Macaca mulatta: one gene and its partners. The protein of the gene in region 1 purifies or fractionates together with the protein of each later gene. This does not show direct contact. Links are inferred from orthologs where the notes say so. Each region holds a gene or a part of one and is shown in the gene's direction. Other genes may lie near its edges. The genes, in order: WDR77, GAR1 and CLNS1A.

Region 1 (3,091 bases):
ACTTCAAAGTACATGATTAAGTTATAGACCAGAGAAATCACAGACTCATATCCAAGGTCCAGTATCCTGGACCTTCAGGGTCACTTGCAAATAGTTTTACAATAATGTTGAATGCCCAGCTGTGCACAGTGGCTCACACCTGAAATCCCAGCACTTTGGGAGGCTGAGGTAGGCAGATCATATGAAGCCTAGGAGTTAGAGACTAGTCTGGCCAACATGCCGAAACCCCGTCTTTACTAAAAAGTACAAAAATTAGCCAGGCATAGTGGTGCACATCTGTAATCCCAACTACTTGGGAGGCTGAAGCCCGAGAATCGCTTGAACCCAGGAGGCGGAGGTTGCAGTGAATCGAGATCACGTCACTGCACTCCAGCCTGGGCAACAGAGTGAAGCTGTTTCAGGAGAGAAAAAAAAAAGTCAATGCCCTATGTCTATTATATTTGCCTTTTATTGCGTAGACATATGTGCTTTCCTGGTTAATGCTAACTCTTTTTCAGCATTTCTGCCATGCAGCCTTTCTGTTATTCTTTGTGTTTGTGTCTTATTCCCCCTGCTGAATTCCAAATCCTTTATTATTTTTTAATTTTTTGTAGAGACAGAGTCTTGCTATGTTGCCCAGGCTGGTCTCAAATTCCTGGGCTCAAGGGATCTCCCGCTTTGGCCTCCCAGAGTGCTGAGAGATTACAGGCATGAGCCATTGCATCCTGCCCCAAAACCTTTGAGGGTAGAGGAACCATGTATTCTTCATCTTTCCTTACCACCATGATGCTTGTCCCAGAGCTTTGCTTTTTTCAAGTGAGCAATAAATTCCTTTTCTTACTTCTTATTCTGTTGACTTTCTGTGAATTCTAGGGCTAGGAAAGAACTATGGAAGCTGGTTTAGTTCCATCCTTCTGCCTCAGGGAAGGGCCACATTCAGACTACCTGGGAAAGTCTGGTAAAATGACTGTAGAAAAGGTTTCCACAGTTTCCAATTAACATGTAGCAGTGACTTTAAAGTTTTTTACATGTAGACCTCCTAAAACAATTTTGAAAATCTGTGCCCCCTCATACATTTTAAAATTGATACCTAAAGAAATTTTTTAAGTAGTTGCAGAGAAGGTAATTTCTGGCATATAATTTATTATATACTTATTTCAAGCGTATATTTGTCCAAATTTTAGGTTTGCAGGTTAATCCTATTTAGTTTGTACAGATGTCTACCAAATAGCCTAACTGGCAAAAGCCAATCTGCATTGTAAAGCCAGTGGACCAAGTTAGACTAAATTTTCTGTCAGAAAAAGTCTGACTTTGTTTTTAAATTCAGATAAAGTTGTTGAATATGTCCGTATCACAACGATCTGTCATATGTTTTAGTTCTCGTTATTAGACAGAAACAGAGTGAAGTTACAGAACCATACTTGTGTTTGTGGTGTGACTGAAACAAGATCAGCGCCCCCTTCATTGAATTTTACCTAGATGCTCTTTCTTTTTGCTCTTCGGTTCTTAGGGAAAAGCCGCTTTTGTGCCTTAGTTTAGAACCCTTATGTTTTTATACCCCTGAGCATTGTACCATGGAAAGATCTGGGATGAATGACAGGTATGTGTTCTTTCTTTAAAGTGGAAGAAGGGTGATTGTGAAAATAGAGGCAGTTCAATTTTAAGAAAGAGAACATTAGAGAAATTGGCTCTCTTAATACTATTAGCGCCCAGAACTCCCTCGAAAGTTTTTGTATACTACTTGGAGGTATGTGTGCTCCAGTATGAAGACTGCTATTCTAGAATTATTTAGATCTCACGTCTAAGATGCCTTAACTGGAAATTCCTTTGTTATTCTTAGTAAGCTCCTAATTTCTCATTCATTGTTTTCACTAATACATTTTTTTTTACAAGGCTTTTTAGGTTTTATAAGTGTATAAACTTCTCCTCTTAGCTTTTGTCTGATCCATAATCTCCCACAAAATTTGTTAAATTGCATCATGAGACCAGCCCTCCCTCCCTCCTGCACCTTGATTACTCCTGGGCTGGCCCTCTTGTAATGCTTCAGCTTGTTTTCTATCATGTTTCTCTTTCTCTCTCCTTTATAGCTCATGCTGCACAGGTCACTTGTGTTGCTGCCTCTCCTCACAAGGACTCTGTGTTTCTTTCATGCAGCGAGGTAAGAGATAGCTCCTTCTTCCCTAAACACACTCCAGCCCTCCATAGGCCAAAGTCTCTAGTGTGGAGACTTTCTGGCCTGCAGCGCTTTGGACTGTGAGATCCTTTTTCTGTTCCGCCTTCCTCTAGGACAACAGAATTTTACTCTGGGATACCCGCTGTCCCAAGCCAGCATCACAGATTGGTGAGTCTGAGATTCATTGGTGGGAGAGTAGTACTTGGAACCCTGATAGAAGAGAATTTCTTTGGCCAGTGTCAAAGCATAGTTGCCAGATGCCCAGTGTAGTTACTGTGACATGAGTGACATAATCTCCTTCTTTTCCACTGAGACTCTGCTAACCCCATTCTTGCAATGCATACCAAGAGGAAGGGCCAGTTCCTGGGTGGCTGATTTACTTTATTAGACGGGAGGACAAAGGGGCCAGAATTGTTATCTTCATGATTTGTGCCTGAAACTTGCCTGTGACTCATGTCCAGAAAGGGCAGGAAGCTGGTGGATAAATGGTTATGAGGCTCAAGGATGAGGACACTGCTGCCTTAGCAGGGTTTGGGAAATCAAATAAAGGTGCTCCCAGGATTTAGAGTGATGTCATTTGAGAAACCGCTTCTTCTGGACTCTTTTGAGTTTTTGTCCAGACCCTTTTCTCTTCTTTGCAGGCTGCAGTGCGCCTGGCTACCTTCCTACCTCACTGGCTTGGCATCCTCAGCAAAGTGAAGTCTTTGTCTTTGGTAAGGCAGCATGTCAGACTTCATATTGACTCTGGGAAAGGGGAGGAGGAAAGAGAAAGAGCTGACTCCACAATGCACAAGGCCCTTGCTGCTCAGTCTTAGCCCTCATGGACACTAGATGAATTATGAATTGAGGGTGGGGAGGTGGGGTGATGCCAAGGTAGTTTTAGTGTAGCTTTGGAGAACATGATTATTTTCCCAGTGGATTTGATTTTTGATTGATGGA
Region 2 (3,656 bases), on another chromosome or scaffold:
CTCGTGTGTTTTGTGTAGAAGAACTATGATACAATATGCCCTTTACATTTCATTATCTGAGAAATGTCCTCTTTAACCCCAGTTATAGGATGTGTATAGTTTTTGTATATCCTTCATTACTTTGTGTGTTCAGAAGATAGTTACCCTTTTGATCTTTATTAAAGACTTGAAACAGCTTGTATGCGAATGCTTTATTTTGAATTTTAATGCTATGTTTTAAATAGTTTTATTTTTCTTACGGCAGTTCTGTTGAGTGGAAATGTTAAATAATCTATTTCTAAAGAGAAATGAGATTGAATTGGTCTTGATTTTTTTATATGCATGTAATGCTTATTGTGTGCCAAAGTGCAAGTGCCTTATATACATCACTTTTTTGATCATCACACAAACATGTGAGATAGATACTCTATTCTCTACATTTTACAGATAAGGAAACTAAGGTAAACTAACACAGGAACAGAAAACCAAACACCACATGTTCTCACTCATAAGTGAGAGTTGAACAGTGAGAACACATGGACCCAGGGAGGGGAACATCACACTCCTGGGCCTGTCAGGGGGGTGGGGGGAAGGGGAGGGAGAGCATTAGGGCAAATACTGAATGCATGCGGGGCTTAAAACCTATATGATGGGTTGATAGGTGCAGCAAACCACCATGGCACATGTATACCCATGTAACAAACCTGCTCGTTCGTTCTGCGCATGTATCCCAGAACTTAAAGTAAAAAAAAAAAAAAAAAAGAAAAAGAAACCTAAGGTAGTGAGAAATTAAGTCCCTGCCCAGAGATACATAGTAGAAAGTGGTAGGGTTGGGGGGGTTTGAACCCAGGCAGTTTTGACTCTATCATGTAGCTTCTTAATGATTATACTCTACTGTCCCCCAAGTCGTACACTAATTGCTTTTATTATGTCTCCAGTTTTATATAGACCCATATAAGCTGCTGCCACTCCAGAGGTTTTTACCTCGACCTCCAGGTGAGAAAGGACCTCCAAGAGGTGGTGGCAGGGGAGGCCGAGGAGGAGGAAGAGGAGGAGGTGGCAGAGGTGGTGGCAGAGGCGGTAAGTTACTTGGGGAAAATTTCTGATGAAATTTCAAAGTCATAGCTGATTAATATAATACAATTTAGCTTTGTACATAGCAAACCCTCCCTTATGGTTCTTTTTATTAAAGCTGTTTTCAAATATTGGCAGATTGTCCATAATAATAATGCTTCATTTCAACAACTTGCTTAAAAAGAAAAAAATCTACTAAAGTATACTTTTGAGGGACTTCATTTCTTTGGGTTATTCATGTTTTCTTGGGCATTTTAATAAACCATAGGATTATCTTAATTTTAATTTCTTAGTTAATATCATTGAGTGTAGACTGCATACTGAAAGCTGGTCATACATTCTTTTAATTTCCGTGTATATTCTTTTAATACTCAGCAAAAGCTTTTGAGATAGATGATATCCTTATTTTATGAATGAGGAAATGGAGACTTACAGAAATTAATTTCCCCCGGTCAAACAATTGGCAGACCCAGAATTAAAATGCATATTTTCTGATGTCGTGTCAAGAACTAATAAATTCATTGCTGTGATCTCACTGTTTAGATGTACGCCTTTCCCCCAAGGTTTTGGCACATTCATCATTATGGGCAGCTAGGTGATCAGCAGGGCTCTAGGGAGTGAGACTGCCATGCCCTGGGAGTAGGAGGACAGGGAGTGATGAGGTAATGGGCAGAGCCAAAGTGGAAAGGGAGAGGAACTGAAAGTTGGGCTTAGACAGCTTTTGTTACTGGAGCCAAAAAAGAGAAGGAATGCTTTACTTTGGCATCTCTCAATTTAATCATCATTTCACTCTATAAAGGTACTTTTTTGTGTCCGTATAGGTAGGAAAATTTTCAGGGGTACCTTCTTGAGAATTTGATGAATAGAGATTCCCCTGTTCTCATTTGATGTTGAGTATCATTTAACATTTCAAAAAATTCACAACTATCTTATTTTTTTTAAATCTTATGTAGCTCAGTTAACCTTAACTATCATATTTATTATTGTGCCCCCAGAACAAAAGCACCCATATCTGCCATCCGTTGTTCTTAGGATACAAAGCCTTAGTTCCATCAAACTATCCTTAGTGGAATCAAAAAGTATTTATCATAAGCAAGAGCTAAGGCAATAATCATACATTTAACAAGACTGAATCATACTTTAAAGTAACAAGTTTTTCTAATTTATTGAAATTGAATAATCTGGGGATTTAACCTGTTGCCCAGTTGGTAAACTACTAGTTTCTTCATTTTTGTCTTGTAAAATTTTTTCTGTGATAAAATATGTGAATCTATATTTATTCATTATAATTATAGTTATTGTATTGATCTTTGTAGACTTATCAGTATAAGAGGTTATATAGTTAATAACTGTTAATGTTTATTATTTATCTGCTATTTAAATATTTTGCATTATTATTTAATAAATGTTTTTAGGTGGTTTTAGAGGTGGAAGAGGAGGTGGAGGTGGAGGCTTCAGAGGAGGAAGAGGTGGTGGTTTCAGAGGTAGGTATTATCTTTAAGTTGCTTAATTTTTAGAATTGATATTATCTGGCATTTTGTTTTTGCTTAAGTTTAATTTTTTCTGCCAGCAAGTATATGGAACACTATGGTGTTCTTTGCTTAGCCTAATTTGTGGTTTCATTTTATATCACTTGTTTTTGCGTTTTCAGTTTTTTAACCTAATTCTAATTTGTTTTGCTTTATTATTAATTTGAAAAAAAAGGTGTATATGAATCTGACAGTTACATTTGGTAAAGTATGGTTGCTAAACATTATAGGAACTAATGCTGATTTTAAACTTGAGATTTACGTTATAATACTATTAAAAATCCATTTTCTGTGCCCTTAATACTTTAATTTTCTCTTAATCAGGAAGAGGACATTAAGTGAAACAGTTGACAGACATCACCAGTTGACTTCTGTATTAACCTGCATGATCTGTTTCTACTGTGGATTGGAAACTTGGTTCTTTAGCAAGTCTTGAAGATCTTGGTCATTTTATGACAATGGATCAAAAATGTTAGCATCATGCAAAGCAACGGAATAGTGAATCTTGCTCTAGAAGAGCATGAACAAATCTTTCTAATGTTTTGTACAGTGCCTGGCACTTTGTGGGTGCCTAATAAATGGACGGGAGTTTTCATTTGAAGCATATTTGAATTTTTAAAATAAAGTGTTTTATTCCCTGAAGTTATTTAGAGTGTGTTTATTAAATGAAACCCATTTTTTGAAGTAGAAAGGAATAACTAAAACTTAAACATAGTGAATTGCAGATCGAAAAAAGGATTTATTTGTATTACTGATCTTTTAAAAAATAGGCTGCTGTAGCAGTACTTTAAGAGTATTTACAAATTAACACCCCCTTTCAAAACCCTGGCCTTTTATGTATGAGAAGATAGCTCTGTATTTCCCTTTTGTATTTTAATACATAAATCAGTTAAGCTGTTTCTCTAATTGCAATTAATAATTGATTTTAAAATTTTCCATATTAGTAACGTGTTAAAGATGGAGTAGCTCTGTTCAAGTGAAAAACTAGCAAGAAATTTTTAAAAAGCAGTTACTTTTTCTCATCCAACATGAATATTAAAAGTTTTACTGAATGTTATTTTTACTTTTTTAAAG
Region 3 (3,656 bases), on another chromosome or scaffold:
TCATATAACATACCGTTTAACCATTTAAACATACAATTCAGTAGTTTTTAGTCTGTTTACAGTATCGTGCAATTATCACCACAATTTTAGAATATTTTCTTCACCCCAAAAAGAACCTGGTACCCATTAGCAGACATTCCTATTTCCTTCTAGCCCTAGGCAACCACTGTATTGCATTAACATTTTTTTTTTTAGCTTCTTCAGGATTTTTTACTTTTTTTCTGCTAAGTGGTACAGATGGATGAAATATTATCAGAAAATTAGTTAGCCTCTACTGAAAGCTCAACATACTGATTTTGGTGATGTGCTTCCTTTGGTACACCAATAAAATATTTGCATTTGACCACATTTGAGGGAAAACTAGGCCTAGCTTTTCTGTGGCTTTCTCTTAAAGATGTTGAATAAATGAGAGGCTTCAGGGAGTCTGTCTCTCAAGGTAATAAATATTCCCTGAGTTGCGGTGAGTGTGATGACACCCATTTATGTCTTTTAGTGTAGGATTCATGGAGAAACGAATGATTACCAAGGATTTATTGCATACTTACCTCCTGAGCTCTTTGTTAATGGTTTTGAAGAATGTTAAATAAAGGAATGTGACGAGTCCTGCTGTCAAATAGCTCATATTCCATAAGGGCACATATAAGACTCACTACCACAGAGTTAAGTACTAAAATTTGCAAATCAGAAAAAGAAGAGGTCTTTATGGACTGGTGTAGTTGAAGGGAGGCCTCATGGAAGAGGGGAGGATTTGCAAAAGCAAAGAGGGTATTTGAAGACATATCAAAAAAGAAGAAGCTTGAAAGTCATAGAAACATACATGTGACTGAGGAAAATGGAATTTCAAGTCTGTTTGAATTTATAGCTAGAGGGAAAGAGACTTTAACAGAATTGATCTTAAAGAAAATTCGATTTCCACTACTGAATTTTCTTTTTTTTTTTTTTTTTTTTTTTGAGACGGAGTCTCACTCTGTCACCCAGGCTGGAGTGCAGTGGCCGGATCTCAGCTTCCTGCAAGCTCTGCCTCCCGGGTTCACACCATTCTCCTGCCTCAGCCTCCCGAGTAGCTGGGACTACAGGCGCCGGCCACCTCGCCCGGCTAGTTTTTTGTATTTTTTAGTAGAGACGGGGTTTCACCATGTTAGCCAGGATGGTCTCGATCTCCTAACCTCGTGATCCGCCCGTCTTGGCCTCCCAAAGTGCTGGGATTACAGGCTTGAGCCACCGCGCCTGGCCTGAATTTTCTTATTTTATGAACATTTCTAAAAAAGTAAGCTTGAATTTATTTATATGCATAAAGGTGTCCAAGCTGAACTTTTATGTACTTTGTGATATTACATTAGGATTTACTTTCTAAAACTAATCTACTTAAAACATGTTTTTCAGCCGCCTGTCTTGGTTAGATGGTTCTGGATTAGGATTCTCACTGGAATACCCCACTATTAGTTTACATGCATTATCCAGGGACCGAAGTGACTGTCTAGGAGAGCATTTGTATGTTATGGTGAATGCCAAATTTGAAGGTATGTATGGTGTAATTTAATCTAATGCCTCCTTTGATAGCAAATTATATTTTAAAAAAGAGTGTTTGATAATAATCAATGTAACATTGAGGCCATTGACTCATTTTGGATAGTAGTTTATTAAGCAAAATTTCAGCACAGCAACTTGGACAGTTGAAGTTTTCATAATGGACGTTTGTGTGTGTCTGTATATATTTCTATATATTTACACTTAGAATTCTTCATTTATTATGGATATGTATTTCTAACTTTCCTCTAAAGTTTCACTGTTTATTCTGCCTTTCTCTTTTTAAAAGGCACCCTTAGAGACTTGGATCAGTATACCCTGTGCTTCTGAGAATTTAAGATAGAACTGTTCTGTTTTGTTACAATAGTGGTTATCAGTGGGTGTAGGGGGAATATATTTTTCATAGACCTCCACCAGCCTCACCATTCCCCCACATTTGGCAGTGACATTTTGGTTGAAAGAGGAAGGATATTATTGGCATCTAGCAGTTAGATGCCAAGGGTGCTATTATTGTACTAAATATTCTGCTATGCGCAGATGGTCCCCCACAACAAAGAATTATTCCATCCAAATGTCAGTGGTGCCAAGGTTGAGAAACTGTAGGATATAAAGATTTTCAAGTTTTGCTTTGGGATAATTGCAAAGACTTGTAAAAATCTAGTGAAGATGTTCATGTTTAAAATAATGGGTTGCTTTTCTTTGAAGCAGTGTGTAAGAGACAATCCCATTTATTTACCTATAAGACTATTGCTCTTTCAAATTGGGATTTTAATATGGTTCCAGATATAATAATATGATCATTTATATTCAGTTGTGACACTATTTAGTAATTCTTAGGACTTTTGGCAAGCCCTGCCTCATTAAGTGGTAATGACTGATTCAGCTATCTGAAAATATTTTTGTTATAAGATTTCCAATTCTTGCCGTTGGAAAAGGTTCAAAGACATTTAAAAATCTAGTGAAGTCTGAAAAAGAGGATTAGGAAAAGTAAAAGGCTGTTAACCCTGGGGTGTAGTAGTGTAGTAAGACTTCCTAATAAGGCATTAGATACAAAATTTGCTTTTCATCTAAGTAAATGCAACTATGATTTTATAACTAAGAATATCATGTGTCATGTTTAGTTTAAAGCATTCATTGATTTCCAGAAATGCAAAACCTTAGAGGTACTCTTGCCAGTCAGCTCCAAATGCTGGTGTGAAATGGCCCTAAATAGTGACGGGCATTGGAGGTGGGAAAGGTACATATCAAGAGAAAGGCTTAGGAAATAGTGTTTAATAATAAAGGGCAAAAGCACATTGAATAAGAAAACTCTGTCATTAGGCCGGGCACAGTGGCTCACACCTGTAATCCCAGCACTTTGGGAGGCCGAGGCAGGCGGATCACCTGAAGTCAGGAGTTGGAGACCTGCTTGGCCAACATGGTGAAATCCTGTCTCTACTAAAAATACAAAAATTAGCTGGGCCTGGTGGCGGGCGCCAGTAATCCCAGCTACTTGGGAGGCTGAGACATGAGAATCGCTTAAACCCAGGACGTGGAGGTTGCAGTGAGCTGAGATTGCACCACTGCACTCCGGTCTGGGCAACAGAGCGAGACTCTGTTGAAAAAAAAAAAAAAAGTAAAAACTCTGTCATTAACTTGCTAGGCAAGTCATTTGCATCTCTCTGAGCCTGAATTTCATCCAGAAAGGTTAAGGGAGTATATTGGTCTCTGGTTCTCAAACTCAAGACTAACGGATACATATTAGAAATACGTGGGAAGCTTGTTTAAAATGCAAATGCTGTAAGTCCTAAACTAGGAAAAAGCAGTTCAGTAGGTTTTAGGGTGTGTGTTTTAAATATGTGCTCTATAATCTTACAGAGTCTATATGATTATTTGATTGTAATTGATGTGATTATGATTAATCCTTTCTTAGTAAAATATGCAGGATTTCCTATCTTACTAGAAATTAGTATCTTCCTGGGTCACATTTATTTCACTAATTCTCCAGTTTTTTTTATTTTTTTGAGATGGAGTCTTGCTCTGTTGCCAGGCTGGAGTGCAGTGACGCGATCTCAGCTCACTGCAACCTCCGCCTCCCGGGTTCAAACGATTCTCCTGCCTCAACCTCCTGAGTAGCTGGGATTACAGGC

What was found.
Region 2: the proteins of WDR77 (region 1) and GAR1 purify together in Homo sapiens (affinity purification with mass spectrometry; 3 studies listed by BioGRID and IntAct, with this or other methods). This does not show direct contact. The link is inferred for Macaca mulatta from reciprocal best matches to the Homo sapiens genes WDR77 and GAR1.
Region 3: the proteins of WDR77 (region 1) and CLNS1A purify together in Homo sapiens (affinity purification with mass spectrometry; 6 studies listed by BioGRID and IntAct, with this or other methods). This does not show direct contact. The link is inferred for Macaca mulatta from reciprocal best matches to the Homo sapiens genes WDR77 and CLNS1A.

What each region holds. Positions count from the first base shown.
Region 1 is NC_133406.1:128,801,660-128,804,750, forward strand, and holds part of WDR77 (methylosome protein WDR77), read left to right. Parts: intron 1-2,066; coding exon 2,067-2,137; intron 2,138-2,265; coding exon 2,266-2,320; intron 2,321-2,793; coding exon 2,794-2,865; intron 2,866-3,091. UniProt on the Homo sapiens protein: Non-catalytic component of the methylosome complex, composed of PRMT5, WDR77 and CLNS1A, which modifies specific arginines to dimethylarginines in several spliceosomal Sm proteins and histones.
Region 2 is NC_133410.1:119,125,002-119,128,657, forward strand, and holds the end of GAR1 (H/ACA ribonucleoprotein complex subunit 1), read left to right. Parts: intron 1-917; coding exon 918-1,059; intron 1,060-2,468; coding exon 2,469-2,537; intron 2,538-2,906; coding exon 2,907-2,920; 3' UTR 2,921-3,224; downstream 3,225-3,656. UniProt on the Homo sapiens protein: Required for ribosome biogenesis and telomere maintenance. Part of the H/ACA small nucleolar ribonucleoprotein (H/ACA snoRNP) complex, which catalyzes pseudouridylation of rRNA.
Region 3 is NC_133419.1:78,053,792-78,057,447, reverse strand, and holds part of CLNS1A (methylosome subunit pICln), read left to right. Parts: intron 1-1,383; coding exon 1,384-1,520; intron 1,521-3,656. UniProt on the Homo sapiens protein: Involved in both the assembly of spliceosomal snRNPs and the methylation of Sm proteins.